7 linked regions of the Macaca fascicularis genome follow. The protein of the gene in region 3 interacts with the protein of the main gene of each other region in a biochemical or structural test. Links are inferred from orthologs where the notes say so. Each region holds a gene or a part of one and is shown on either strand. Other genes may lie near its edges. The genes, in order: NRIP1, TADA3, RARA, TRIM24, PSMC5, MED1 and NCOA6.

Region 1 (4,503 bases), on a different chromosome or scaffold from region 3:
GTCTCTTCACACATTTCTTTAGTGCAAAGTTAACAACATTTTAGGCTGTTAAAATTAGCAAAATCCAAGTTCTACAGAGTTTGCAAATGCATGTAAAACAGGCATTAAACCTGGTTTTCAACTAACTTCCCACAGGCATTAAACCTGCCTTTTTCACCTAACTCATTTGAATAAAATCAACAACGAACAGTCCTTTTTTTTTTTTTTTTTTTTTTTGGATGTGTATTTTGCTCACACTCCTAGGGCACTTCCCAGGGTAAGTTTGGAAAGAGGTCTTTCTCCACTAGAGTATGACACAGACTAGAGCAACCAATCCTGTAACCTGCAGGGCAGTAGCTGTTCCACTAATTGATTCTCCTTCTTTGTCTCTAGGAACTATGCCCAGGCAGAAAAAAAGTTACTATAGGCGATGAAGCCAGCGCTCCCCTGAACCAAATAAACCCTATCGACATTACCAAACTGCTGGGCAAAAGCAGAGCAATTCACTTACTTCGAAGGTGAAAACATTTCAACATACACCAGGCGGCAACCGACACTTACGGGCTAAGCAGATGAAACACCATTTGTTTAAAAAGTCTATTATCTCACTATCTCTTCCACAAAGGTGGAAAACTGATGATTAAACATTGAATAATGCCACCCACTTACTAAACCTATGATTCACTAATAAGCATTCAATGCAATTCATAACTTTAAAGAATGAATTACCGAAGCCCCTTGCTTCACAAATTTTCCCAAGAAACAGAAAGAGCATTGATCACCTATAATCCGACAACCATTTTTTACTACGGACACCTACAGATGGCTTCTCTTCCTCTAACGACACAATTTCCTTCACAATCCCACATGTAATCATTTACAATACCAGAGACAAACTCCACCTCAGTTCCACCGGCCGAGTTTTTAAAAATCCTTGTGCCTAAGAACGTCTTCTTTCCCCCAAAGTAAAATGTGCCATTAAAAAATATTTTTAAAAAGCAAAAGTGCTTATCATTCCGTACTTCTTTTACTACCTTCAGCAGCCAATTACTGACGTGATAAAAGGTAGAAACTCCTGGAATGCTTCAGAGATCAACATGTGTCACAGACTCCCAGCCTGTCCGCCTCTAAGACACAGTTGGTTCCTTTGTTCCTTCAGACTGAACACCAACTCCTGATTAAAATTGGGAAACTACTTTGGAAGGGATGTGAGGGTCTGCAGAATACGTCCACGAAAACCTTCATAAAACAATATGCAATAGTAGTAAGGTGGGGACAGCAGAAGGGAGAAAGGGCAGCCTCCCGGACTTCCACGGGGCTCACCCTAAATGGGGGCCGGCCCCTGGCTCCTGGTAAAATGATGGCTGAGGCCTCGGGTCCGTGAGCCACGCCATCCGGGGGGGACGGCGAGTGCGGGCAGAGCGGGCCTGGGGTCCGTTGGGGGCCGGGCGAGCTGTCCGTTTTCCTATTCACTTTCCCAGCCGGGTATCCAGCAAGCACGGAGCAGGCAGGCACCCAGGCGAAAGGCGCCGCCCAGGATCCGGCTGGACAGCAGGATCGAGAGCGGCGCAGCGAGCGGTGCCCGAGGTTCGCGACCAAGAGGGCAGGCGAGCGAGGGGCAACCCCGACCCGGCCCCCGAGCTCCAGTGTCCGACCCCGCGCAGGGGCCACGCGACGGCCGCCCCCTTGCCCAGAACTGGCACGGACGGGCGGGCCGACCCGGGGCCACTCCACAACTTGCCGGCCCGCCGCCCCGGCCCCCCGCGAGAACCCGGGGAGACTCGAACCAGGCAGCAGAGGCAGGATTTCCCCGGAAACGCGCCCTCCACGCCGCCCCGTGCGCGCCCGCGGCCGGCCGCGCTGCCCCCGCCGCCCCGACGCCCCCGCGGCCCTGCCCGCCAAGCCAGCGCCGACGCGGGCCGCGCTCCGGGGCCGTTTCCGGCGGCGCCGGCGGCCGCTACTCTGGGCGCCCTGGCCGCGGCCGTCACTCACCCCAGGCCGCCGCGGCTCCCAGCCTCCGGCTCCGTCAGGCTCGGTCCGCGAAGGCGCCTGCCGCCCCGTCCTGGCCCGGCACCCCGGCGAGCTCTTCCCTCCGACCAGCGGCGCTCCCGGCGCAGCGGCGGACGCGAGGCCACGGGCGGACGGGCGCGCGCGGGTGGCGGGCGGGCGTGGGGCCGGATCGTCCCTGCGCCTCGCCGCCGCCTCCTCCGCCGCCGCCTCCCGAGTTCGGGGCTCTGCTGCAATGTCTGCGAGGCTGACTTTGAGCGCCTCGCTCGCCGCCCGCCCGCCCGCAGCCGCGCTCCTCCCTCCGCCGCCGAGTCCGCCGCGGCCCAGTCCCTCCCCTCGCCGCCCCACGCCATTCAGCTCTTCAGCCAAGTTTCTTAACCCTTTTCTCCCCCTCCCTCCCATTGTCAGCCGGTCAGGAGGAAGCCGTGCGGGTCCGGGCCGCTCGCGGTAGCTGCGGAGCCCCCTATGGTTCGTGGATTTCCTCCTCGCCTGCTTTCCGGGTGGCTCAGACGGGGCTGCAGGGCCCGGAGGCAGCGAAAGGACCGCGTCCCCAAGAGAGGGGCTGCTCGGCGCGCCCTGGCCGTCCTCCGGGCTCCCAGCTCTGTCCAGCCGCCCGCGACCGCTGCAGGCGCCTGGACAGCTCCTCCTGGGAACCCGGGGAAGCGCTCTCGGGACCCAGGCCGAATGCTCCCGTTTGGGCAGAGCCTGGGGACCGGGGCACCCCAGACGCCCCAGGGTCCCCGCCTGGGTGCTGGCGCCTTAAAAGTCTACCTCCTCCCCTTCACCCCACAACACGCGCTCCCTGGGCCCCCTTTCACCCCCCACCCAATTTCTATCTCCTTGTAATCTGTGTGTCCTGCTTTAATCGTGGGGGGCGCGGGCGCGAACTCTGGGTCACTTTGACCCCACGCCCAGCACGTAGTAGGCACCCAGCCCTCATGTGGAGCGACTCCGGGAGGAAAACTAGGAAGGAGACCTGAGGAGCGCCCCGCTCAGCTCCCTGGACAGACGTAGGACCCAGGAGCAGGGTTAATCCTCGGCTGCTTTGTCACTGCGAAGTCTCCAGCGGAGTCTGTCAGCCAATCTACATCATCCCCGGGAACCAGACAAGGCAAAAGGAGCAGAGCTGCTACTTCTTCAGCAGCTCTCCTCGGTTCAGTCTCCGAATAAGAAATAACAATTACATCACGAGGCCGGGGCGGCAGCGCGGTGGAGCCTCTTGGTTTCCTGCAGCCTAATCTCGCTGAACCCGCCTCTAAATTGGGGGGGCTACAGACTGCTGAAACGAGAAAGTGGAGGGAGGAGAGAGTCATACGAAACCATAATTTCCCCTTATCCGTGTATTTGCTGTTTTAAAAATCGTATCCTCAGCGCTCCCCAAACATCTCCCTAGAACTATTAACACCCCCTCAACACCTCCCCAGATGTCAGGTTTCTTTTTGACTTGAGCATCCAGCATTTAGTAATTCGCCATGAAAAAAATTACCAGGGGAAACCAATGTTGTTGCTGAAATTGTTTTTGCTTGACACAAAAAAGCTAAAGTATAGCTTAGTCTCACCCGAAATTCTGAAATGGCATGACTGTGTTAAAACACTTATTACATAAGACAAATGAGCCGATGAGGCACTCCATTCTTACATGTAGGTTTTTATATCCTGAAGAATTTGATAGCATTTGAAAATGGAGTTGCTAATGCGCTTAAAAAACAACAACTATCCAAGTCATGAAACTGTATTCTATGCCTGTTATGTAATGGCTGTATTGTGTACTGCAAATTTCACTTAACCTTTAAAAATATGAATGAGAGTTTTAGAATACTGTCACAGTCTTGAAAGTGAAAGCAATTTTTCAAATTAATGCTTAATAAATTCAGCACCTAGCACAGTGCCGGGCACATGGTACCGATGTTTTCCTTAGTGACAATGGCACTTTTAAAAACAATTATTTTACATCACCCTACTGATTGAACTATGCAATCTGTTGCCATTTTAAAAAGTTAAACCTCATATAATACCATATTATTTGCATATACCACAATTCAAAATCTGCTGTAGGCAAATTAGTAAAGGCTGCTGTTTTTTAGTGCATCATTTATTCAGAATTGATACAAAGCAAACCGTTTCAATGATGACCAGCGTAATTGGAGCTTGGCCCCTTAGTGGGGGTCAAACTTTTTTTACGAAAATTATTTTTAACCATAATACAAAGATTTTTCTACAATGTATTGCAAATGTTTCTCTTAAGCGGTTTATTGAACATCATTTAGCATTTTCTTGACAATTCAGTGTCAATTTTATTAAAAGTAATTGTTGTAGTAGGTTGTAGTGGATTCAGGAAATATATCCAGTTCCTATTCTATATTCTTCCTAGGTGTTAGGGATTCTCCCAGGAGGTCCAAACGCTATCAGTCGCTACACCAAAGGACTGTAGGATGCCATGACTTAATGATTATCTCTGCCTTTTGTAATTTCTCTCTCTCCCCCTTCACTAACTGACAATCTGTTTTGCTTACTGTT
Region 2 (3,883 bases), on a different chromosome or scaffold from region 3:
TCTCTGAATAGGAATCTGATTTATACATTTCATTGATAGTGGAGCTGGAAAGTCACTTAGTGATTGAGTCCAGCCTGCCCGTTTTCCAGAAGAGGAAGCTGCTGCTCAGGTCAGGGAGTGCTTAAGGCCTTGCAGCTGCTCTGCAGCAGGGTAAGGGCTGTGCTCTGGTTTCCTGAGAGCTGCAAGCCATTTCTTCATTGCCCATTACTTCTTTTTTTTTTTTTTTTTTTTTTTTTGAGACAGGTCTCACTCTGTCACCCTGGCTGGAGTACAGTGGCCTGATCAAGCTCACTGCAGCCTCCACCTCCCAGGATCAAGTGATCCTCCCACGTCAGCCTCCTGAGTAGCACTATAGGCATGTGCCACCATGCCTGGCTGATTCTAAATTTTTAGTAGAGATGGGGGTCTCACTACATTGCCCAGGCTAGTCTCAAACTCCTGAGCTCAAACAAGCCTCCCACCTCAGCTTCCCAAAGTGCTGGGATTATAGGCATGAGCCACCAGGCCCAGCTAAGGCCCATTACTTCCGTAACCGCACATGCCTGCTTTTCTCTCTCTTCCTCTCTCCCTCTCCTTCCCTCAGTGCCCCTTCCATCTGTGTTTTCTTCTTCTCACCTTTCAGAGAAAACATGAACTATTACAGAAAGAGGCTTTGATTCAGCCATGGGCTCAAGTCTCAGCTTGGCTGTTTATTGAGTGTGTGACCTTCAGCAGAGCACTTCGCTTCGCTGGGCCTTTATTTCCTCATCTGGTAAACAAGGAAAACAGCACTTCCCTCCTGGGTTGTTGTCAAGACACTTGAGAGTGTACATAAAGCCCCTGACACACAGTAGGCACGCAGCATACATTAGTCACCCTTATCCTTAAATATCCTGGCAGCTTGTCAGCAACTACCTCTCCTTTTAATGGCACTCGTCTTTACTGATCATCTGCTAGTAATCTGCAAGTCTCTTGCTGTGCCTCTCTTGCTGGTCCCTAGCACAATGTCTAAGAGACAATAAGAATGGCCAAATGATTAGCTGGGCATGGTGGTGGCACATGCCTGTAATCCCAGCTACTCAGGAGGCTGAGGCAGGAGAATTGCCTGAACCTGGGAGGCAGAGGTTGCAGTGAGCCGAGATCGTGCCACTGCACCCACTGCCTGGGCAACAGAGTGAGACATTGTCTCAACAACAACAAAAAAGGCCAAATGAATGTGTATGTCCTGTCCTGTCAGGGCTCTATGAAGTTAAGACACAGCACTTGCCTATGAGAAGCAGAGACTTGTTTGGGTTGCTTCCCTATCTCTTTAACTAAAGGGTAGCTATTCCACAGTCTTCCTCCAGATGTCACCTATACCTTTGTTGTGATCAATGCAGAACAAGATGGATGGGAGTTGACATCAAATGAATGGTAGGCACTGTGATGGATTCCCAAAAGAACATGTCTAAAACACTGGTCAATTTCTTGTGATAAGCAAATAAAAATCACAGATCTCTAACAAAATGTTAATAGTTAATTAGTCTAGGTGGAGAATATGCTGATGTTTATTGTATGATTCAGATTTTCTGCATGTATGAAATTTTTAATAAAAAAACTTTGGGGATAAAAAGAAAAGCAGCATGAAAAGACAAAAAATAAATCACACAACAATGTGCATATGGGTAACACTACTAAACTGCACACTTAAAAATGGTTAAGAAGGGTAAATTTTTTTTCTTTTCTTTTTTTTTGAGACGCAGTTTCACTTTTGTTGCCCAGGCTGGAGTGCAATGGTTCAGTCTTGGCTCACTGCAACCTCTGCCTCCCAGCTTCAAGCGTTTCTCCTGCCTCAGCCTCCCATGGGCATACATTTTACATTATGCCTCTATCACAATTAAAAAATCAAACCAAATCAAATCAATCGATCAATCAGTCACAGGTGCCTGAGCCCCACTCTGTGGAATTAGAATTTGTTTGACACATACCCGGTGGACTGGCCACTGCTGTTTCGAGGCTCTCCAGGTGATTTAGAGACCAGCCAGGCTGGAAAGCCTGTTGTAAAACCCCTGGAAGGTGACCAGCTGTGGCCACAGCCTCCAAGGCCACCCGCGGGACTGTGCATCCTGCTCACACTCACCTCAGCAGGTCGTGCTTCTTGGTGCGGTTGTGGGCACTAAGTGCCTTCAGCTCCGCCTGCCGTTTGCGCAGCTCAGCAAGGACCTCATCCTCAGAGTCCTCTGCTGGGCGGTCCTCAGACTCCAAAAGGCCCTGGGCAATTAGCTCCTCCTTGATGCGGCTCTCCAGGGACTTAGTATGCGGCACACTGCAGGGGGAGGCAGGCCCCTGTCAGACTCAAGAGCCAGCTTGGAGGAGGGCCCACCTTGGAGGTTCCCAGGGCTTCCCAAGCTCAGTGAAAACCTGCCTTTCCCTTTGGGCACCCCCTCTGTATCTATCCAGATACAAAGGGAAGGACAGACACATCTGGTCTGGTTTTTAAATACAAGCAACATATGTATCCACTATCCAAAAAATATGGAAAAACCTGTAATGCCAACAACCCAGAGAGAATCATTATTATTTTATTATATGTTATTATATATATATTCCAGATTTTGTTATATATTATTCCCAATCTTTTACTACATATTAGTCCAGGTTTTTTCCCCTATGTGCATGTATTTAAATATATTTTAAGTAGGCCAGGCATGGTGGCTCATGTCTGTAATCCCAGCACTTTGGAAGGCCGAGGTGGGAGGATCACCTGAGGTCAGGAGTTCAAGACCAGCTTGGCCAACATGGTGAAACCCCGTCTCTACTAAAAATACAAAAATTAGCCTGGCATGGTGGCAGGCGCCTGTAATCCCAGCTACTTGGAGGCTGAGGCAGGAGAATTGCTTGAATCTGGGAGGCGGAGGTTGCAGTGAGCCAAGATTGCGCCATTGCACTCCAACCTAAATGACAAGAGTGAGACTCTGTCGCAAAAAAAAAAAAAAAAAGAAAAAGAAATACATTTTAAGTAAAAATAAGATTATAAAAATATGTATCTGTACTGGCCTACAATTAACATTTTCCCCACTTGGCACTCTATAATTTATATCTTTTCATGTCATTTACCTATATTTCTCTATACTTGCAGCTATATGATTAATAGTTGCAAGTTATTTCATCATATGGAGTTATGCCAATTTAGCCAACCACTCCCCTTCAGCAGGACATTTGGTTTATTTATGGTATGAACAGTTCTGTGCTGAACAACCCTGCACTCAGTCTGTGCATGCAGACACATTGGGCCAGCACTCACACTTGAGACTGCTATTGGGCTTCACCTAACTGTCCCCAGCCTCTTATTGATGAGGAACTCCCCAGGTTGAGATGGAGAGAAGCCAACAGAAGTGGGCGCCAGACTGTGGGTTGTGGATAGGACACCACTCACCTGAAGGGCTTATTCTGATTGCGAGGGGAGGTGCTTGCCCCGTCAGCCCCTGATTCTTTCCCAGACATGTCAGGAATAGGAGAATCCTCCATAGGGGAAATAATATTTTCCTAGAAGACCACAGAAATGGGTGGAAGGAAAAAGAGCTGTTCCACTTTCCTGCTCCTTTCTGACCTACACTGACAGTCTTCAAACACCAGAAATATCCTTTTATCTTTCCCATCCCACCTACTCTGGGAAGCCTTCCCATACTGATCCCAAATTGCTTTGATCATTCTAGAAATCCATTTTTGTACTGATATGAAGAAAAAGGAACAAAAGGAACACAGAAGAGAAATGATTAACACTCAATGATGGTAATGAACAGCCAAGGTTTGTGAAGTGCCTGCAACGCACCAGGCACTGTGCTAGGCCTGCTGTGGCAGAGGTGCTAGCTGTCCGAACGCCACTCTCCTGTCCTCCATGGCAGCTAGGCAATGCCTCTCCAGC
Region 3 (3,883 bases):
AGGCCTGGAAGAAAGCCATCCTGGAGCAAACACACATGCACACATGCGCAAAAGCACACACAGCCAGACGCGCAGAAACAGGAACAGTTACACACACACGGTCCTGGAGCACAGACCTGCCCATGCACACACAGCCAGACGCGCAGAAACAGGAACGGTTACACACACACGGTCCTGGAGCACAGACCTGCCCATGCACACACAGCCAGACGTGCAGAAACAGGAACGGTTACACACACACGGTCCTGGAGCACAGACCTGCCCATGCACACACAGCCAGACGCGCAGAAACAGGAACGGTTACACACACACGGTCCTGGAGCACAGACCTGCCCATGCACACACAGCCAGACGCGCAGAAACAGGAACAGTTACACACACACGGTCCTGGAGCACAGACCTGCCCATGCACACACAGCCAGACGTGCAGAAACAGGAACGGTTACACACACACGGTCCTGGAGCACAGACCTGCCCATGCACACACAGCCAGACGCGCAGAAACAGGAACGGTTACACACACACGGTCCTGGAGCACAGACCTGCCCATGCACACACAGCCAGACGCGCAGAAACAGGAACGGTTACACACACACGGTCCTGGAGCACAGACCTGCCCATGCACACACAGCCAGCCAGACTCGCAAACAGGTCCTTGCGGCTACACACAAACCATCCTCAACCGTGAGCCCGCACACCACGGCATGCGTGTTCATGCATGTGCACACACATCCACAGAGCCCTGCTCCCTTGGTCTTTAGGAGCACCTGAGGCCCCAGCTCAGGCGGGACTCGGCTCTTGCCCCATGGCACTCACACTCCTTGGACATGCCCACTTCGAAGCACTTCTGCAGTCGGCAGTACTGGCAGCGGTTCCGGGTCACCTTGTTGATGATGCAGTTCTTGTCCCGGTGACACGTGTACACCATGTTCTTCTGGATGCTGCGGCGGAAGAAGCCCTGGGTATGGAGGGGAGGGAGTCAGGTTGTCCACACCCACAGTGGCAGCAGTGCCTGGCTATAGTCTCAGTCTAGGGGAGGAGGGCCAGGCCAGCTGCTACCCCCAAGCCTTTGCCCATCGCCTACCTGAGCAGGCCAGAAAAGCTGGGGAGAATGATTCACCTAAAAGGATCCTCCTCAGGAGAATCCCAGTACCCGCCTCAACGCCGCAGGATGGGCAGGAGTCTTCCCCCAACCCACAGCACACATCTGACTCCTCCCTTCCAGGGAAAGGACCTCAGGGCTGCTGGTGAGTCAGAAAGAGGAAGACATGGGGCTAACTGGGAAACAGCCAGGAATCTGGAACCCACAGCCCTGAACTCAGAACACAGGAAGAGAAGACAAGCCCGAAGAGGCCAGGAGTCAGATACACGGGCTGGCCAGAGAAATGGAGGCGAACACACACATGCACTCAGGAGCAAGGCAGAAAGATGCGAGTTCACCGAGACAGGCGTGCGCCGGCCCATCACAGACAAACCCAGGCTGGCCAGGGGCTCCACATACAGGGTGACCAGAGAGACAGGCGGACAGATGAAGAAGAGACCAGGAACAACCAGACAGGACAGGCAGACACACAGCCTGAGGCCTTGCGCTTTGCCCTTGACCTCTGTCCCACACCTGGGGATAGCTACTCCAGGCTGAAGAGCAGCCCAGAGCTGCAAGGCCCAAACCTGTGCAGATTCTGAGCCCCAATATCTGGAGGAAGAAATGCACACAGAGGCTCAGGCCCCGGGGAAAGGAGGAGAAGCTGGGCACAGGGCTGCTAAGGACCGGGTACACCTGCACCCTGGCACCTAACGTGAGGGTGGGGAAATTCAGCCAGACACCGGGGAGCCCACAGCCCGGGCACCTGAAGGGGAAGCCAAGGCACGGTGCCTGCTCCTAACTGCCTCCTGCCAGGCTGCCATGGTGAGGTTCAGGCAGGGCCGCCGAGGGAGGCCTCCTGGGTCCCCAGCCAAGAGCCAGTCGGCAGCCAGCTCACCATGGCAACCTGGGCAGCGGTGGCAGAGCAGGCATACGCCCTGCCAGCTGGAGGATGGAGAAAGGGAAAGGAGCTGAGGCAGGAGGGGACCTCTGGTTTGAGGGAGCCCTGCACATTTATGGGGCAGGACCTATGGTAGGTGTCCCTGCTTATTGCCAACTTCCACAGAAAAACAACAGCAGCAACTTCAGGGACACCCCCCACCCCAACTGCACACTCCCAGGACACGGAAGTGGGGATATCCCACTGACCTCATCAAGCTGTCCTTCCCAATGACCCCTTCAACTCACCTTGCAGCCCTCACAGGCGCTGACCCCATAGTGGTAGCCTGAGGACTTGTCCTGACAGACAAAGCAAGGCTTGTAGATGCGGGGTAGAGGGGGCGGCGAGGGAGGGCTGGGCACTATCTCTTCAGAACTGCTGCTCTGGGTCTCAATGGCTAGAGAGAGAAGAGGGGAGGGGCAGTTAGAGACCTAGGCCGCCATCCTTAGTACCAAGCTCCACCCTGCCTCACAGTCCCTCCTAAGAGCCTCTCCCAGCCTCACCACTGCTGGCAGGATTCAAGTCTTAAGAAAACTGGGACTCCCCAGCCAGACTCAGGGAAGGAGGCTGCCAATGAAGCCTCCAGCGCCCCATCACTCCTCCGGATTCCTAGGACCCACACCTTCAAAACCACAAAGAGACAATGATAAACCATCAGATTTGTATGTGTGCCGTGACTGTGCTTGGGGAGTAGGGGTGGGGGTCACCCTGATTCTAAAGCTCTTGCCCCTGGGCGGCCTGGCCCCGTTCTCCCCCGAGTTAGGAAGGAGTTAAGGCTTGAAGAGGAGGGAGGGAAGAGGACACAAGCCGGGGGCAGAGGAAACTGGGGTCAACAGGATATTCAAAGCTGGCCACTCCCCCGCCCCCTCTGCTTCCGCTCCCCCCTCCACCCCATTCTGCCAGCAGCCACAGCCCCTCCTCCACCCAAACAATCCCAGGGCCAGGGACCCAAGGCAGGGGGTGCAAACAAGAGTCACAAATGCTGGGCAGAGCAGGAGGTGTCTCCCTGAGATAGGCAGGGAGACACCCTGAATACAGGGAGAAGAGTCCCCAGGGCCCCAGAATCCCATCATTCTGGGTACCCCCCATCTGGGGAGAGACGGCATGACAAAGGGGGTCTGTTCCCATCAATGCTCTGTCTGTCTGGCCTCAATACCATGTCCGGGTTAGTACCCCTCCCCTTCTGTTATTCAGCTCCAAGAGGGCAGCCAGGAGGGGTGACCCAGACAGCAGGGGCAGCCCTCACTGGCCAAATCCTCCCCAGTGCCTGGCTCCATGCCACCCATCACTGTAGGCAGAACAGGGCTGGGTTGGGCAGGGGCTATCTGTGTCCAAAGCCTGGGCAGCTAAGGGTGTTGGGTGCAAGATAAGAACTATGACTGAGGCAATCCCAGATTCCCAAGGGGCCACCCAGCATCGTCCTGAGGCCTACCACGTTCAAGTCCACTTGTCCAGGGCCAAGGATGGATGAGGATGCCTCGCCAAGTAGACAGATCCCTGCCTCCTCCCATATTCCACAGTCCTACTGAGCCCTACCCCAAACTCCAGCACATGAAACTGGCTGGCATTTAAAGGTGCCCACAGCGCCTGGCCCAGGTACCTTACAGACATGAGTCACATGGCCCCAAATCACATGGCCCTAAAGTTGGGGCACAGGGGAAGGAAGCATGGGAACACCAGGGGCTGACTCTGTGCTACCACCCTCTGCCCTTACCTGCAGACACAGGGGGAGCTACTAGGCGGCTGATGACAGGGAACTAGGCCAACAACCTCGGCAGGGCTTTCCTGGCTCTTAGTAGTACCTGGGCACCACTTCCTGGCCAGCCTGGCTGACCAGCACTGCTATGGCCCCTCATCCCCTT
Region 4 (3,883 bases), on a different chromosome or scaffold from region 3:
AAAAATATTTTGTCTTTCCGTTATCAGCTGTAATTTACATTTCCATCACCATCTAATAAACCTTTGAATATAAATGTGGATAGTTATCTGAATTCTCTCCTGCATTCCCTGATCTGAAAAGTTGGAAATTTTTTCTAACTCAGACATCTTGGTCTCCTATGTTGACACGGTGTTTAGTATAAAATGATTTTCACACTGCTATTCCTTCCTGCCCCTCCCCTCCCCTAGCCTCACCTCATTGAATTCAGCACAGTTTTGAAAGATCAATCTAAAATCAGCTACAAAATCTTCAGGTTTTGAGTACATGGAATAATCTTCTTGTAGTCTTTTCTTGATGGTTGACAAATCCATTGGATTTTTAATTATTTTGTAATAATCAGGCACCTTTAAAAAAAATGAGATGTTATAATATAAATAGCTAAATTCTACCTTGTCCTAAATATAGTCTATGAGATGTGCTCTAAAATTCAGAATGTTCTCATTGCTTTTCTCTGTGCTATCTGTCATTAGTAAAGAAACCCATTTAACAGTGTTCACTGCCTTCCACATACATACTGGTAAAGGTTTGTGTTACTTTTTCCAAGAAGTTTAACCAATTATTGTTTTTGAGACAGGGTCTTGCTCTGTCACCCAGGCTGGAGTGCAGTGACACAATCTCGGCTCACTGCACTTTGCCTCCTGGGCTTAAGTGATCCTCTCACCTCAGCTTCTCGTGTAGCTGGGGCTACAGGCATGTGCTAACATAGCTGGCTAATTTTTGTATTTTTTATAGAGATGGGGTTTTGCCATGTTGCCCAGGCTGGTCTCAAACTCCTGGGTTCAAGCAATCTGCCTCCCAAAGTGCTGGGATTACAGGCATGAGCGACTGCACCCAGTCCCAATTATTTTTAATGAAAAAACTTGTCTTCACATATTCTCTCTTAAATCACCTAGATTTTCTTTCATTATTAAACAAAAAGCAATTACTAGAAATAATATCATTTCTAGTAGAATCTGACATGTTTTTGCTGCATGTATTTATATAACATGTGGTAAAGAGGAAGAAGGACTTCGAATCTGGGTTTAATCCCCAGCTCTGCTGCTCAGTATCACAGTCCTGGGTAAGTTACTTAACCTCAGTTTCTTCATATTCCAGATAGGAATAATCCTGCCAAGCTCACAACATTTTGTACAGACTAAATGAGATGGTATTTATTAAGAAAAAGGGGGCTACTTTGTCAGTGCTGTTGATATTAATAACGTAACTCTAAGCCAGGATAACAGAAAGCACAATTCAATACCCTGCCTCTTTTGGGTACAAACGAGCCTTCTCCCTGGAAGTATTTATTTCCTATATCAGGTTCTCCAAACCTGTTCTTAAGAAAGAAGCTGTTTATCAGCTGAATGTATTTACTAAGCTGATACTCTTCTAACTTTGTACTAATCTGAGATTTATCAAACTGTAGAACAAATTAATTTTTTTTTTTTTTTTTTTGGAGACAGAGTTTTGCTCTTGTTGCCCAGGCTGGAGTGCAATGGCGTGATCTCGGCTCACTGCAACCTCCGCCTCCTGGGTTCAGACATTAGAATACTTTTTTGGGGTACCAGGCCCTTTCCAGCACCCTAAAATTATGCATTAAAGTCACATCAAACTTTCAATATGAACCTCAACTTTTTTGTATTGGTAAAGTCTACTTATTTACTTGAAGTCTGGACCTATAAATAAAAATAAGTATGGAAAATTTAGCAGGGAGAGATGTCTTTATTTCAAACAAAGTTTTTTTCCAACAGCTTTGGAAACATGCCTAAAACTCCTGAGATACAGACAATTAACAGAAATCACCCCAAACACCCCAGTACTAAGTAAAATAGATGAGAAAAGACGAAAGAATACCTGAGAAATGAACACAAGTTTTGGGCCACTTACTAAAAATGTACCTATATAGAATCAAAGCATTCAGTATGTATTATTAAGATTTAAGGTTTAGATTAAAAAATACTAGAAAATGGTATATAAGCTAGATTCTCATAAATAAAAATTCCAGAAAAGCATTCCACTGTGTAAACATGCACAAAATGACATTAATACTTACAGTTAGAGGAACAGGGTCTTGAAAAGCCAGGCTCATTTCGTGGCAGTAAAGAAATAAAAGTAGGCGTTCACACTTCTAAGCAAAAATAAATAAAAACAGATAAAATATAAAACAATGAATTCACAGCTTATTTTAAATAACAATCTCAGAGGTTCCAAAGTATCAGACTAAAAATTTAAACTCAGATAAATACAAAAAAATTATTGATTCTTGGAGTTTTGTTCTCCTTCCGAATCATTAACTGAACTGTACTACTTGACAATTTAGGGTATATATGATATTTGGGAGCAGGCCCTGTAATTGAATGAACTGACAATCACTAGAAACCCATTTGAAGTTTTCTAACAATAAATTTGCACTTATTGCTCCAGTCTGTGTATTATAAATTAATAATACTCCATAAAGGAAGAACATATGTCTCTCAGGAGAACTGGAGGTGGACCTTCTCAATGCGCATACAGACCTAAGGCACCTCTCTGCATGCAGAAGGTCCAACCATGTGCTCTGCTATTCATACTTCCCTGCCTATGGGTTTATCCCAGTAACCACTGAGTAGTACTGGCAGTGAATGGGCACGTCCCCTCTTGCATGACAACTTTCATATTGATTGTTCTATTTAATAATTTAGCAAAGGCGTTTTTTTGGTAACAAAGTGTTGACTTGGTAGCTGTAAATGTTATTTACAGTTAAATGTATCAGTTGGCTTTGATGCATAAGTCTAGTCCCATTCGGTTAAAAAAAAAGAATTATTTCCAGGAAGAGTAAAGAAAAAACCCAGCTCCTTGGTGGCAATTCTGAGGAAAAAACTTATCTATGGTAGAAATAAAACAAAATAGAAATTTACTTAAGGTAGATTAAAAGTCTAGGCTACATACTCCATCTTGTTCAGGTACAATAAGCTTCTATAAAACACACAAAATTCTGTGACTTTTTTTTAAATTTAAAGAAAGTTATACCTTTGTAAAAAAAAAAAAAAAACTCCTAAATAAAAAGGATCAGTATAAAATCTGGATGGATATACACCTCTCTGATGAAAGGCACCACAGTACAATAATGCATCTTACCAAAAAATTGTCTAACATGCTAGGTTGGAAATGCTCAAAGACTTACCCTTTTATCTATAGGTGTTAATTTAACAAGGCCTTCAGTTTTCTTTTTTTCTGAGTTGTGACTGGGAGCATCACAATCATATTCAACTTCTGGTTTAGATAAGTCTCGGCAGAAAGTACAAATCCACTCTCCACTGTAGGGGGACAATGTACTTTTGAATTTCTAATGCATCATTTCCTCTCTTCACTATTTCCCTTTCCCACCTCCTCCATGACATCTATGATACAGAATTGTTTATTTGGCATGAATTTTATCACTCAGCATTTACCACATACCACTAGGTATACTGTACCATGCTGAGAGGAAACAGCAGAAATATAATGCAAGGGCCTAACATCAAAATCTAGTTAAGAAGGTGTGAGATACATATATGAAAAAACAACAACAAAAAAAAACCACCTAGACAAATTAACACATTAATCTAGGGCTCACATATCTAGGGCATAATTGAATTTTTTTCCTCCAAAGGATTCAGAAATCAGAAAAGCTCTTTGTACTGTTCTTGTTACTCTAAGTTTATAAAATTAAATTTTCAAAAGTATAGCCTTCCAAGAACTGAGAGATCAACCCAATGGCTCTTAACCATCTTGGTCAGGATGATGATCATCATCCCCATAGGGTTTGAGAATTTACTTGAAATACTTGTAAATGATACAGTTTGATGCCTGGAAAAAAGACATAATAAACTGGTAGCTGTTATG
Region 5 (4,374 bases), about 8.9 Mb from region 3:
CACCTGGGTGAAGGGGGTGAGTTTCAGAAGTGGTACAATAAGAAATAAGAGCTGACCCCACCACCACCTCACCTGCTACACTCACGTCATTGATGTCAATGTTTTTGTCCACGTCTACAACAAATTTGCCTTCAGGATGTACCTAAAGAAAGAAGAGCTCATGATCTTCCTTGACAGCCACCAAATCACTAACCCTACCCAGGAAGACCTTCGAGAATCCCACAATACCTTGACAGAACACAGAACCCTGTCTCCCAAGGCTACACACAAAGGGGTGGGAATCCAGTGCAGACTGAGCTGGTTGGTCCCTGGGGTCATGCTGCTTTTACCTTGACCAACACTTTCTTCTTATCCATGGCCCGGACTACTTCCCCCACATAGGAGCCCTGTTCCTGCAGCAGCTGTAGCTCCTCCCGCAATAGGCGAACTAGATGGCAAACAGACACAGTGGTCACCTAGCTACTCCTTTGGAGTTTCCAGGACCCAATTCTACATGCATGAGCTAAGCATCATTCTTAAGTTATTAAAGGAAGACCAAAGATAAAAATTCATGTATTTAAGGAGGCTACAATGGAGCTCGGGAAAAAGAGATGCATGTGAAACTACTAGATGACAGGGAGAAAACAGTAAGCACTGCTGTGAAGACACTGTGCAGGGAGGTTAGGACAGACCTCAGACAAACTGCCCACATGCGGCTTCCCATCTTTCCCCACTCACCTTTAGCATTTAGTTCATTCCTCTGTGCCTGCAGCCTCCGGAGGTTTTGGCTCTTATCATTCACAATCAGCTGTGGCAGACAAGAGACAAATTCCATTACTCAAGGGCAGGAGACAGGAGGAGGTAGGATCTTGGCCAAGACCTCACAGGTCAGAATGAGCTGAGGGAAGGGCACAGGGCACCTGTGTGTTGTTTCAGATTCTCCAGTATGATTCTAATGACCCTGCCCTGTCCTCCAAGAGTCCCTCTGGAGCTTATGGCAGCCATCAAAGAAGGCTGCTTGTCCAATTCTGGTCCAGGAATAACAGAATCTAATGGAGAAAAGTTACAGCTGGCTCATGTAACACCAAATTTCTCACAGGAAGGCAACATCACCTAGTGGAAAGAGTGTTAGGTGAGAAGTCTGAGTTCTAGCCCAGCTGCTGTCAATCAAAAGCAAGGTAAAGCTCAGGCAATCTATTTTAAAAAATCTAGATCTGTTACCAAATGGCACATGGGTATAGCATCAGCTGCCCTGCTCCTTTTCAGGACTACTGAAGTGAACGAATAAAAACACATGAAAAAGCATTCCAAAATGGTTAACTAAACATAATACCTGCAAATGCACTTGGAATTCAGAATTGTTCTTTGTGGCTTTCCCCCATCCAATTTATATTACAGATGACACTTGAACAACGCAGGGGATTAGGACGAAATTGAAAATACATGGACTTGTCCAAAGTTAAACTACTAACAGCCTACTGTAACATAACACTGTTAACACTAACAGCCTACTGTTTATGTTGTTGGTAATGTTTACTACTGGAAGCCATACCTACTACTGAGAGTCACACCTTACTGCTGGAAGCCTTACTGGTAAACATAAACATTTCATTAACAACATAAACGGTCCTTTTTCTATGGTTTAGCGCTTTAGGCTAGCGTTCTGGGTTGCCCAATTTCTTTCATTCAGTCTCTATGGAATTAGCATTATCCAGATGCCTCAATGATGCCTTTCCTCACATTCTCACTTCACCCTCACCCAACCTCTTGGTGATAAATTTCATCTCCTGAGCTTGTTTCCCTTTCATAAGAATCCTTTTCATTCGGGCTTCTTCCAAAAGGGCTGACCTTTGGCTAGAGGTACCTTTTCTGTTAAGATTTGACTCTTGAAAATGTTTAACAAACTGTGAACACTATGACCCTCAAAGGGGTGGGACTGGAGGAGAACAAGAGATTGCTTACTTCTGATACACACACCCTACTAGCTAAGAAACAAACAAGAAAGGAGAAGCAGCAGCTTCTTCCACTGCACTCCCAGTGGAATTAGATGGATTTGTGGAAGTCCGTTTCCATCCCCCATCATCCCGCTTCCTAGCTCTCTCTGAAGTCCGTCCTCACCTGGAGTTCTTCAATCTTGGACAGATAATATTGGCGGAGTCCGCTGCCTGCCTTCCCCTCCTCCAGTTCCATCTGAAGACACAGAGTGAGTCTTAAACGACAGGTTAAACATCCGAGGGGATAAAGCCACTTGCAGGGCACTTTGAATAAGGTTTGACACCAGGTAGCTTTGCGTAGTAAAAAAAGTTTGGACTTCGGAGGCTCAGCATCTGGGTTCTAATCCCTCCCTCCCTGGGAACCCTCCATTTTCCCACGACTAAAATAAAAAAATGGGAACGCCGCCTACCTTGTACGACTTTTAGGAGGACCGAGAGGCGATATGATATACACGGGGGCGCTTTGCACTGCGTGAAGCGCTCTACAAGCCCGAGGTGTCGTTACTGCCGACGGAGCAAGCGGAACGGAGCCGAAGGACTGGCGTCCCGTCTCCTGCGACCCGTGGGCCGGCCGTTCCCGCGCCCATCGCTCCCCTCACTCACTCCGCTTCTACCGCGTATTCCTCTCCCAGCCTTGCCCTGACTCACCGAGGGCGGCGCTGACACAGCAGATCCAGTCGCAGGCAGCGTCCAGCCTGGACTACTCCAGCCACCTCCGACCCACCCAACCCTCCTGCCCCGGCCCGCTCTCCACTTAGATTACGCTCGCTCCGCACCCAGCCCCGTAACCTGCCGGGCCGCCACTGCAGCCGCCATACCTGCTCTGGCCCGTCAAGCGCCATCTTCTCTCTTCAGCAGAGACCGCCGGCATCCGAGTCCCCTTTGCGCGCAGGCGCGGAAGCGGAGGCTTGTGACCTGAAGACCAGGCAGAGAAGAGTTCCGGGTCAATGGGCGGGGTGCGCGGCCAGACCACACTAACTAAGGGGACCATGATGGGAGGGGCGGCTACGAGAGTTCAGGGGCTTTGGAGGGGGAAGAGGAAGGAGCAGAACTCCTCAATGTTGCCTCATTGAAACTATGTTTGTAGTTCTTGTAATGTGCCTTCCTAGTCTCAACTTTCAACTTACAAAATCCGAGGACAGAGTACCGAGAACAATCTATGGCCACACTCAAAATGGCGGAAAACCTCGAGCCAGGGACGCAAGCGGAAGCGGAAGTACGTTTGCTGCATACATGTGCGGTTCCGAGTGTGGAGAAAGCGGCCGTGGGTCTAGGTAGAGTGTGCGGAGAGGGGAGCGGAGTGGAATTGCTGCGGGAAGTGGGAAACTGAAAGAGGAATCTGGTGATCCGGAAAGAGACGTCCTCAACTTCTACTTTCTCCCCAGATTGAGCGATACTCCCCCATTCCACCATGGGCAAGAAGGGCAAAGTTGGCAAGAGCCGACGGGACAAGTTTTATCACTTGGCGAAGGAGACGGGTGAGTCCAGATTCGCTCAGTCTGCGTGCGAGCGAGCGAGCGATCTCTGCCCGGTTCGCCTGCTCTTTCTGACCATTGTGTACCTCTCCTGCAGAAGGGGTAGTGGGTTGCGAGGCTGGAGAAATCCTGCTGGTGATGGTGAAGCCCTCTGCGCACTTGGTTGTTTTGTCCAGGTTACCGTTCCCGATCTGCTTTCAAGCTGATCCAGCTCAATCGCCGCTTTCAGTTCCTGCAGAAAGCCCGAGCCTTGCTGGACCTGTGTGCTGCGCCAGGGGGATGGTTCGTAACACTTGCCACAGGTTGCTCCTGGTGGCCGCTTTCTGTGTTCTGAGCTGCGATGGTTTCCAGTTTCATTGCGGGAGAGGAATCCCGAATCCCGGTCCCCTTGGAGGCCGTTTCCTTTCTTGACTGCAGAGAAAGGACTTGGAATACGTGCCTATGATATGTTCTGGCCAGTGCACGTAACACCAGGGATGAGAGGTCAGTTGCCAAGAGGGGGACAAGGATGGCTGTAGGTTTTTAAATTCCTATTCCTTTTATAGGCTGCAGGTAGCTGCCAAGTTTATGCCTGTATCCAGCCTTATTGTGGGTGAGTAACGGACAGCTCTCCTTGATGTTTTAAGGGGTCGGTGTATAAAGTACTTTGTCCTGTATTTCTCTCCTCCCTGCTTGAGGCAACCCTTTAGAATACTCTGACCTGATTTATTCCAGGAGTGGACCTGGTTCCAATCAAGCCTCTCCCCAATGTGGTGACTCTCCAGGAGGACATCACAACAGAACGTTGTAGGCAGGTAATAGGAGTCTTTCTCTTCCTTCCCCCTTTATACGGAAACATCCACATCCCTGAAATCCTCTAAAGGCAATTTTTTTCTATTTACCATGCTTTGAGCACATTCTTGCCTGACATTTGTACAAGACCCATG
Region 6 (3,883 bases), about 980 kb from region 3:
GAAGTTTAGAAGCTTCTTCTGCAATGTCTGAAAGGATGTCAGTTACATCTGGGCCAATGCTGTCTGAACTGGATAGTCGGACCATCCTTTGAATACTGGGTTGGGGGTGAGGTACTGGTTGTGGGTAAGTTGTTGGGGGAGTGCTACACTGGCTTGGAGCTGGAGTGATGTGTGGTGTATCCAGTGTGTCAGCTGTCATGTTGACATCAAAGATAGGGTTCTGTGAGTCAACATCCATTGAAAATAGCTCCCTCTGAAAGTCATCTTCAGTCTGGTGCTTTGGTTTCTCGGGTGGTAATCTTGATGACTTCTTTTTCTTGGTCTTGTTGCTCCCCGAGCATATTTCCATCCGGGGTGAGCCGGAAGAGGAGTTCTGCCTTTCTAAAGGGCTGCTTCCATAAAGGGTTGAGAAATCCTGGGCAGGATTATCTTTAAGAAGGTTCATGAGCATCGGGTGGTTCTTGGTGTTGCCGGCCATCGAAGAGACAGGTGGCGGCGTGTGATGAGGAGGGGTCGGACTCGAGCCAATGGTAGACCCCCCGTTCCCTGTGATTTGCAACAAACTGGTAAGAATTGGGTTCTGAGACACCTTGCTGAAGTCCTCCCCATGGCCCACCGACTCATGCCGATCTTTGATGCTCATGCTCATATTAAACAAGGTGGTAATGGGACCCCCCGGAAAGGTGTTGGTTGGTGTAGTGGTACCACTCATTGGGTTGTTGCCTGTGGTCATGCCATACCCTGGGCTGCTAGCCGGGGGCAGGTTCTTTTTCACCATGTCTTCAACTGTCTCTGCAATGAGGGACAGTGCTGGGGTGTCGGCCTGAATGGTTTCAGCTTTCCTCCGAATAGCCCTCATCGTCACAGGGATGGACATACATCTGCAAGATAAGGAAGAAAACAAAGTTAATATTTCAATAGCTGCTGAATGAGACCTGAGATTTAGATAAACCATCAGAGTTCTGCAGTAAGCAGTTTCCAGGTAGGGCAAATCGTATAAGGCAAAAATAGTTCTATCAAATACCAGAGCTTTGGGTAAATACATTATAAAAATCTAACCCAACATAAAATTGTCAGTCTCTTATGAATCACACAACAAAAGCAAACTATAAACAAGAGTCCAAATAATTGAATTTCAAACTGAACTAAAAGAAAATTGGTAATAATGGAACTCAGAAAATGCCTCCTTAGGGGCCAGTCGCAATGGCTCACGCCTGTATTCCAGCACTTTGGCAGGCTGAGGCAGCTGGAACATGAGGTCAGGAGATCGACACCATCCTGGCCAACATGGTGAAACCCCATCTCTTTTTTTTTTTTTTTTTTTTTTTTTGAGACGGAGTCTTGCTCTGTAGCCCGGGCTGGAGTGCAGTGGCCGGATCTCAGCTCACTGCAAGCTCCGCCTCCCGGGTTTAGGCCATTCTCCTGCCTCAGCCTCCGGAGTAGCTGGGACTACAGGCGCCCGCCACCTCGCCCGGCTAGTTTTTTGTATTTTTAGTAGAGACGGGGTTTCACCGTGTTAGCCAGGATGGTCTCGATCTCCTGACCTCGTGATCCGCCCGTCTCGGCCTCCCAAAGTGCTGGGATTACAGGCTTGAGCCACCGCGCCCGGCCAATGAAACCCCATCTCTACTAAAAATACAAAAATTAGCTGGGTGTGGTGGCACGTGGCCTGTAATCTCAGCTACTTGGGAGGCTGAGGCAGGAGAATTGCTTGAACTAGGGAGGCGGAGGTTGCATTGAGCCAAGATCATGCCACTGCACTCCAGCTTGGTGACAGAGCAAGACTCTGTCTCAACAACAAAAAAAAAAAAAAAAAAAAAGCCTCCTTAGGTCAGGCGTGATGGCTCACTCCTGTAATCCCAGCACTTTGGGAGGTCGAGGCGGGTGGATCACTTGGGAGTCAGGAGTTTGAGACCAGCCTGGCCAACATGGTGAAACCGTGTCTCTACTAAAAATACAAAAAATTAGCCAGCCGTGGCGGTGTACGGCTGTAATCCCAGCTACTCAGGAAAGGGAGACAGGAGAATCACTGAAACCCAGGAGGCAGAGGTCGTAGTGAGCCAAGATCGTCCCATTGCACTCCAGCCTGGGTGACAGGGCAAGACTCCATCTCAAAGAAAATGTCTTCCTTGGGGGCTTCATATGGCAATTACAAGGATACATAATTTATTTTAATTAAGGAACCATTAGAAAAATCTTGGCTGGTCAGAGTGGCTCACGCCTGTAATCCCAGCACTTTGGGAGGCCGCAGCAGGCAGATCACAAGGTGGGGAGTTTGAGACCAGCCTGGCCAACATAGTGAAACCCCATCTCTAATTAAAAAAAAAAAAACACAAAAAAAATTAGCTGGGCGTGGTGGTGGGTGCCTGTAATCCCAACTACTTGAGAGGCTGAGGCAGGAGAATTGCTTGAACCCAGGAAGCAGAGGTTGCAGTGAGCCGAGATCACACTACTACACTCCAGCCCAGGTGACAGTATGAGACTCTGTCTCAAAAAAAAAAAAAAAGAAAAATCTCTTGACCTATCAATTTCTAAACCTTACTGACTTAGATCCCAAACCTACACCTGTTATAAAAAGTGCTATTTGTTATAAATCTTATTTTAAAGCAAAGCACTTATTTTCCAGATAAATTTATATTCATAAACCTCAGTTTGCAAATGTTTTGCTCTAGAACATATGTCAGCAAATTTTTTTTCTTTTTTTTTTTTTTGAGACGGAGTTTTGCTCTTGTTGCCCAGGCTGGAGTGCAATGGCACGATCTCGGCTCACGGCAACCTCTGCCTCCCAGTTTCAAGTGATTCTCCTGCCTCAGCCTCTCGAGTAGCTGGGATTACAGCCATGGACCATCACGCCCAGCTAATTCTGTATTTTTAGTAGAGACAGGGTTTCTCCATGTCAGTCAGGCTGGTCTCGAACTCTTGACCTCAGGTGATCCGCCCACCTCCCAAAGTGCTGGGATTATAGGCGTGAGCCACCACACCCAGCCAGCAAATTTTTCTTTGTTTTTTTTTTGAGATGGAGTCTCGCTCTGTTGCCCAGGATGGAGTGCAGTGGCACGATCTTGGCTTACAGCAACTTCTGCCTCCCAGGTTCAAGCAATTCTCTACCTCAGCCTCCCAAGTAGCTGGGATTACAGGAGCCTGCCACCACGCCCAGCTAATTTTTGTATTTTCAGTAGAGATGGGGTTTCACCATCTTGGCCAGACTGGTTTTTAACTCCTGACCTCATGATTTACCCACCTTGGCCTCCCAAAGTGCTGGAATTACAGGGGTGAGCCCCCACACCCGGCCACAAATTTTTCTTATAAGGTCATGTAGTAATATGTTAGGCTTTGTACGTCACGTTTCCTGTTCACCTACTCTGCAATATTACCTAGAAATCTGCCACAGACATGTAAATGAACAGCAGTGTTCCAATAAAATTTATTTACAAAAATAGGCTGCCAGACCTAGCTGTAGAAAAATCTCACAAAATTACTTATTAATGGTTCTGGGATGCATACTGGCTTAACTATCTTTCATGCAACAATTAAGTTGGCTTTTTATTTGAGATGGCATCTTGCTCTGTCTACCAGGCTGGGGTGGAGTGGCACAATCTCAGCTCACTATAGCCTCTGCCTCCCAGGTTCAAGCAATTCTCCTGCCTCAGCCTCCTGAGTAGCTTGGATTATAAGCACCTGCCACCACACCTGGCTAATTTTTGTATTTTTATTTATTTATTTAGTTTGTTTGTCTTGAGACAGAATCTCACTCCATCACCCAGGCTAAAGAACAGTGGCGCGATCTCAGCTCACCACAACCTCTGTTTGTTTGTTTGTCTGTTTGTTTGTTTGTTTTGAGAAAGAGTCTCACTCCATCACCCAGGCTAAAGAACAGTGGTGC
Region 7 (4,318 bases), on a different chromosome or scaffold from region 3:
ATTTCTTAATGTGCTGATAAACAAGTATATGAGGCCGGGCGCGGTGGCTCAAGCCTGTAATCCCAGCACTTTGGGAGGCCGAGACGAGCGGATCACGAGGTCAGGAGATCGAGACCATCCTGGCTAACACGGTGAAACACCGTCTCTACTAAAAAGTACAAAAAACTAGCCGGGCGAGGTGGCGGGCGCCTGTAGTCCCAGCTACTCCGGAGGCTGAGCCAGGAGAATGGCGTAAACCCGGGAGGCGGAGCTTGCAGTGAGCAGAGATCCGGCCACCGCACTCCAGCCTGGGTGACAGAGCGAGACTCCGTCTCAAAAAAAAAAAAAAAAAAACAAGTATATGAATATTAGATTTGTATATGTTGGAAACTATATTTCCATATAATTGGTGTTCCTTATAATTCAATGTACTTTATTTTATACAACTAAAAAATATTATTCTGAAAGGGGTCCATGGCACAGATAAGGTCAGGTCTTCCTTCATTAGAAAAACCCAGGTGGCTCACGCCTGTAATCCCAGCATTTTGGGAGGCCGAGGTGGGCAGATCACTTGAGCTAAGGAGCTCAAGACCAGCCTGAGCAACATGTTGAAATCCCATCTCCACAAATTAAAAAAAAAAAAGAAAAGAAAAACCCAGAACAAATGAATTGTGTTGCAGTATATACATATGGTATTGACAATCTTATTTTATATTTGCCCTCATAACCTTTCTGTTCATTAATTCTCTTTGATTATATGGGGCCCTGGACCTATTTTCCATGACTAGTTTGCATATTTCCTTCAGAACTCTCCCATAGCCCACGCGAACTTTGAATTTTTCTCTAACATGATCCAACTTCAATTAACAAAATAGACACTCTGGGTCTTTACAATTTTTCACTTTTCTTTTTTAGGATTTTGTGTCCCTTTGTGGTAAACACCTAGAAGAGAAGAAGTATTTCTTTTTTCTTTTTTTTTTTTTAGACAGTGTCTTACTCTGTAATCCAGGCTGGAATATCATGGAACGATCACAGCACGGCTCATTGCAGCCTTGGCCTCCCAGGCTCAAGCGATCCTTCCACCTCAGCCTCCTGAGTGGCTGGGACTAAAAGTACAAGCCACATCAGGTGGCTAATTTTTTTTATTTTTTTGTAGAGATGGGGTCTCCCAGCTCCTGGGCTCAAGCAATCCTCCCGCCTTGGCCTCCCAAAGTGCTGGGATTACAGGCATGAGCCACTATGGCTGGCCGGAGCATCTCTTAAAACTCTACAAAGTTAGAAGGTCTCAAAGACAACAACTTTGCACAATTAGAGATGAGCCAGGAAATACCAAAAAACTGGCTGCCTACCCTCTTTTGTATTCCCTTCAGCCTTTGTATTGCCAAAGTCATTAAAGGAACAAAACAAATTTAATAGTTATCTGGTATATACTGTTACGCTTCACTTCTTATTGTTTTTGTTTGTTTGCTTTTAGTTTCATCACAAGAATGTTATGGTTCATTTCTTAACACCTTTCTCCCAGCTAGCAAACTCCTTTAAGGCAATGTGTTTAGTGAGCAGGCAGCTGACCATTTCCAGTAGACCCTCTGCTACTAACTTGTAAGATCTTGAAAAGTCAACTTTACCTTTCTGTTTCAGCTAAAATCACTACCTGATTTGAAATCTTTACTTGATCTCTCAGGCCTTTGTAGTTTTTATACATTCACTCTTCTTCACCATTTTACTGGCTTCAATAACGCCTTTCGGATGACCTCTCCAGGTGACCCTGCTCTTAAGCTGTGGGCTGTCCCCTTCCAGGGAAGACACCTTGGGTCACCGCCCCCAAACAGCCGGGTCCCTCCTTTTAAAGACACACACAATTCCCTAAGTTGATAAAGGTTCTTTCCTTTCTTGCCAACCAGTTCCACTCTCTGTGCCTCTTTTGCCGGTCAGCTCCTGCACCCAAACCTCAGTCCCCTTTTGTCCCCCTTTTCTCTCATCAAACACCTCCTTTTTCCTGTTGCTTCCCCCAATAGGGGGTGGAGGATGCTTGGAACGTAAGTCTTCAGAGCCTTGGGAGTTATACAGCTTTGCAAATCAGCCCCAGTACCCCAAGGACTGCCCCAATCTGATACCAGCGTCTGTACCCAAAGGGCCCTCATTCCTCATCCATCACCTCCTTCCCTCCCCGCAAAGAACTGCTCCAGCCCTGACAGCCTAAGCTTGGCCCCCATGCCTCCACCCCAATCACCAGGTTCTACCTGCACTAGTGCCCTAAGCCCGCCTAAGGCCTAACCCAGTTCCACGTCCTGCCATCCTCTCAGCCCATGGACCCCAATCCTGGTTCCTTTCGGATCCAGTGTTCCTTCTCCACGACCCTGACCACGACCCCACTACTGGCTCCCGCCTGTTCCCCGGGCCTGGAGCGCCACCCCGTGCAGACCCCGGCCAGCCCTGCACTCCCTCAGTGCGCCGGCCCCAGCGCCCAGCACCCTCCCCACCCCGCCGGGCCGCCGCTCCCTCCAGCGCCCCCGCCCGCAGGCCTGGGGCCCGCTCCCCAACATGGCGACGGGGACATAAGCGCGGCGGGCGGGGCGGCTCCGGGCCGGGCCCGCACTCAGACCGTGCCACTCGGTCGCCCGGCGCCATTTTCCCGCGCCGGGCCCGGGCGGCGCCTCCTCCCCGCGAAGCCAGCCCGACAAGGACCGCGGACACCCGGCGGGCCCACCCCTTACGGGCCCGCGCCGCCGTCGTCTCACCTGAGCGCGGCCCCAGCCCTCCCGGGCGGGCCTTGGAGCGCCAGCCCCGGCCGTGCGTGCCCGCCGCCCTCCGTGCGTCCGTCCGTCAGTCCTCGCGTGCGCCCGTCTGTCCGGCCACCCGCGCCCGGCCGCCCGCAGCCCGACCCGGCAGGGCCTCACCGAGCCGGCGGGGAGGGGGATGGGCCGGACCGGGCCGGGGAGGGAGGGGGAGGGAGGGAAAGAGGGAGGGAGCGCCAGAGGGGGCGGGGCGGACTCGAGGGGCGGGGCATTGCCCACGTGACCAGACGTCCCCGGGAGCGCGAGGTGGAGTGCGCGCCAGCTCGCTTGGGTGCTGTGAGCTTAATGCTGGGATCTCGTGGGTTTCTGTCGGCTTCCCAGTGCTATTCTCTCGCCAGTGAGTCCCGCTGGGGAAACACACACCGAACAGCCTTTTGCGAGCGCACTGAGTATCCTTGGAAATGGCAACTCCAAACCTCAGTTTACCCATCTGAAATATGGGGAAAATCATAGTTCTTGTGAGGAGGAAATGGAGGTAGGCATGGAAGGCACTTGTCACCGTGCCTGACACATAGTGTCTAATAATAAGCTTAATGGGATATAGATAAAAGCTTTCACTATTATTTGCCTCTAAATCCCTCTCTTCTTTTTCCCATCATTACCTCCCTAGCAAGCTAAAATGCTCAGGAAATAGAATTATTGATCGAACGAGTGTGGCCCCTCCCCACTTCCCAAATGTAGAAAGGCCTCCTCAGCACTGGCCTTGACGTCTGTCATACAGGCCTGGATTCATATCTGGCTTTCACTCTTTTTTTTAAATTTTTTGGGCCGGGCGCGGTGGCTCAAGCCTGTAATCCCAGCACTTTGGGAGGCCGAGACGGGCGGATCACGAGGTCAGGAGATCGGGACCATCCTGGCTAACACGGTGAAACCCCGTCTCTACTAAAAAATACAAAAAACTAGCCGGGCGTGGTGGCGGGCGCCTGTAGTCCCAGCTACTCGGGAGGCTGTGGCAGGAGAATGGCGTAAACCCGGGAGGCGGAGCTTGCAGTGAGCTGAGATCCAGCCACTGCACTCCAGCCTGGGCGACAGAGCGAGACCACGTCTCAAAAAAAAAAAAAAATTTTTGTTTTTGTTTTCTTTTTTCCCACACTACACTGATGTATTTTTTAAATTTTTGTAAGTACGTAGTAGGTGAATATATTTATGGGGTACATGAGATTTTGATACAGGCATACATCATGTAATAATCACATCATGGTAAATGGGGTATCTAGCACCTCAAGCATTTATCCTTTGTGTTACAAACAACCCAATTACACTCTAGTTATTTTAAAATGTACAGCTAAATTGTGTGTGTGTGGTTTTTGTGTTTTTTTTTTTTTTTGAGACAGTCTCACTATGTCGCCCAGGCTGAAGTGCAGTGGCGCGATCTCGGCTCACTGTAACCTCCGCCTCCCTGTTTCAAGGGATTCTCCTGCCTCAGGCTCCTGAGTAGCTGGAACTACAGGCGCCTGCCGCCACACCCAGCTAATTTTTGTATATTTTTTAAGTAGAGATGGGGTTTCGCCATATTGGCCAGGCTGGTCTCGAACTCCTGACCT

What was found.
Region 1: the proteins of RARA (region 3) and NRIP1 form a complex in vitro, tested with the Homo sapiens proteins (4 studies listed by BioGRID). The link is inferred for Macaca fascicularis from reciprocal best matches to the Homo sapiens genes RARA and NRIP1.
Region 2: the proteins of RARA (region 3) and TADA3 form a complex in vitro, tested with the Homo sapiens proteins (2 studies listed by BioGRID). The link is inferred for Macaca fascicularis from reciprocal best matches to the Homo sapiens genes RARA and TADA3.
Region 4: the proteins of RARA (region 3) and TRIM24 form a complex in vitro, tested with the Homo sapiens proteins (3 studies listed by BioGRID). The link is inferred for Macaca fascicularis from reciprocal best matches to the Homo sapiens genes RARA and TRIM24.
Region 5: the proteins of RARA (region 3) and PSMC5 form a complex in vitro, tested with the Homo sapiens proteins (2 studies listed by BioGRID). The link is inferred for Macaca fascicularis from reciprocal best matches to the Homo sapiens genes RARA and PSMC5.
Region 6: the proteins of RARA (region 3) and MED1 are reported together in a solved structure, tested with the Homo sapiens proteins (2 studies listed by BioGRID, with this or other methods). The link is inferred for Macaca fascicularis from reciprocal best matches to the Homo sapiens genes RARA and MED1.
Region 7: the proteins of RARA (region 3) and NCOA6 form a complex in vitro, tested with the Homo sapiens proteins (3 studies listed by BioGRID). The link is inferred for Macaca fascicularis from reciprocal best matches to the Homo sapiens genes RARA and NCOA6.

What each region holds. Positions count from the first base shown.
Region 1 is NC_088377.1:32,171,350-32,175,852, reverse strand, and holds the start of NRIP1 (nuclear receptor-interacting protein 1), read right to left. Parts: upstream 3,144-4,503; 5' UTR 2,963-3,143; intron 2,455-2,962; exon of another isoform or gene 2,387-2,454; intron 1-2,386. UniProt on the Homo sapiens protein: Modulates transcriptional activation by steroid receptors such as NR3C1, NR3C2 and ESR1. Also modulates transcriptional repression by nuclear hormone receptors.
Region 2 is NC_088376.1:148,044,821-148,048,703, forward strand, and holds part of TADA3 (transcriptional adapter 3), read right to left. Parts: exon of another isoform or gene 3,699-3,883; coding exon of another isoform or gene 3,675-3,698; intron 3,505-3,674; coding exon 3,395-3,504; intron 2,285-3,394; coding exon 2,099-2,284; intron 1,597-2,098; exon of another isoform or gene 1,397-1,596; coding exon of another isoform or gene 1,315-1,396; exon of another isoform or gene 657-1,314; coding exon of another isoform or gene 623-656; intron 1-622. UniProt on the Homo sapiens protein: Functions as a component of the PCAF complex. The PCAF complex is capable of efficiently acetylating histones in a nucleosomal context. The PCAF complex could be considered as the human version of the yeast SAGA complex.
Region 3 is NC_088390.1:61,434,401-61,438,283, reverse strand, and holds part of RARA (retinoic acid receptor alpha), read right to left. Parts: exon of another isoform or gene 3,454-3,883; intron 2,644-3,453; exon of another isoform or gene 2,525-2,643; intron 2,419-2,524; coding exon 2,270-2,418; intron 959-2,269; coding exon 817-958; intron 1-816. UniProt on the Homo sapiens protein: Receptor for retinoic acid. Retinoic acid receptors bind as heterodimers to their target response elements in response to their ligands, all-trans or 9-cis retinoic acid, and regulate gene expression in various biological processes.
Region 4 is NC_088377.1:180,256,686-180,260,568, reverse strand, and holds part of TRIM24 (transcription intermediary factor 1-alpha), read right to left. Parts: intron 3,316-3,883; coding exon 3,183-3,315; intron 2,148-3,182; coding exon 2,073-2,147; intron 385-2,072; coding exon 235-384; intron 1-234. UniProt on the Homo sapiens protein: Transcriptional coactivator that interacts with numerous nuclear receptors and coactivators and modulates the transcription of target genes.
Region 5 is NC_088390.1:70,332,876-70,337,249, reverse strand, and holds the start of PSMC5 (26S proteasome regulatory subunit 8), read right to left. Parts: upstream 2,847-4,374; 5' UTR 2,845-2,846; coding exon 2,792-2,844; exon of another isoform or gene 2,384-2,791; intron 2,189-2,383; coding exon 2,098-2,188; intron 788-2,097; coding exon 718-787; intron 428-717; coding exon 330-427; intron 143-329; coding exon 86-142; intron 4-85; coding exon 1-3. Other genes in the region: pre-rRNA 2'-O-ribose RNA methyltransferase FTSJ3, read left to right, coding at 3,385-3,451, 3,625-3,730, 3,994-4,040, 4,163-4,242.
Region 6 is NC_088390.1:60,452,853-60,456,735, forward strand, and holds part of MED1 (mediator of RNA polymerase II transcription subunit 1), read right to left. Parts: intron 882-3,883; coding exon 1-881. UniProt on the Homo sapiens protein: Component of the Mediator complex, a coactivator involved in the regulated transcription of nearly all RNA polymerase II-dependent genes.
Region 7 is NC_088384.1:90,870,961-90,875,278, forward strand, and holds the start of NCOA6 (nuclear receptor coactivator 6), read right to left. Parts: upstream 2,903-4,318; 5' UTR 2,718-2,902; intron 1-2,717. UniProt on the Homo sapiens protein: Nuclear receptor coactivator that directly binds nuclear receptors and stimulates the transcriptional activities in a hormone-dependent fashion. Coactivates expression in an agonist- and AF2-dependent manner.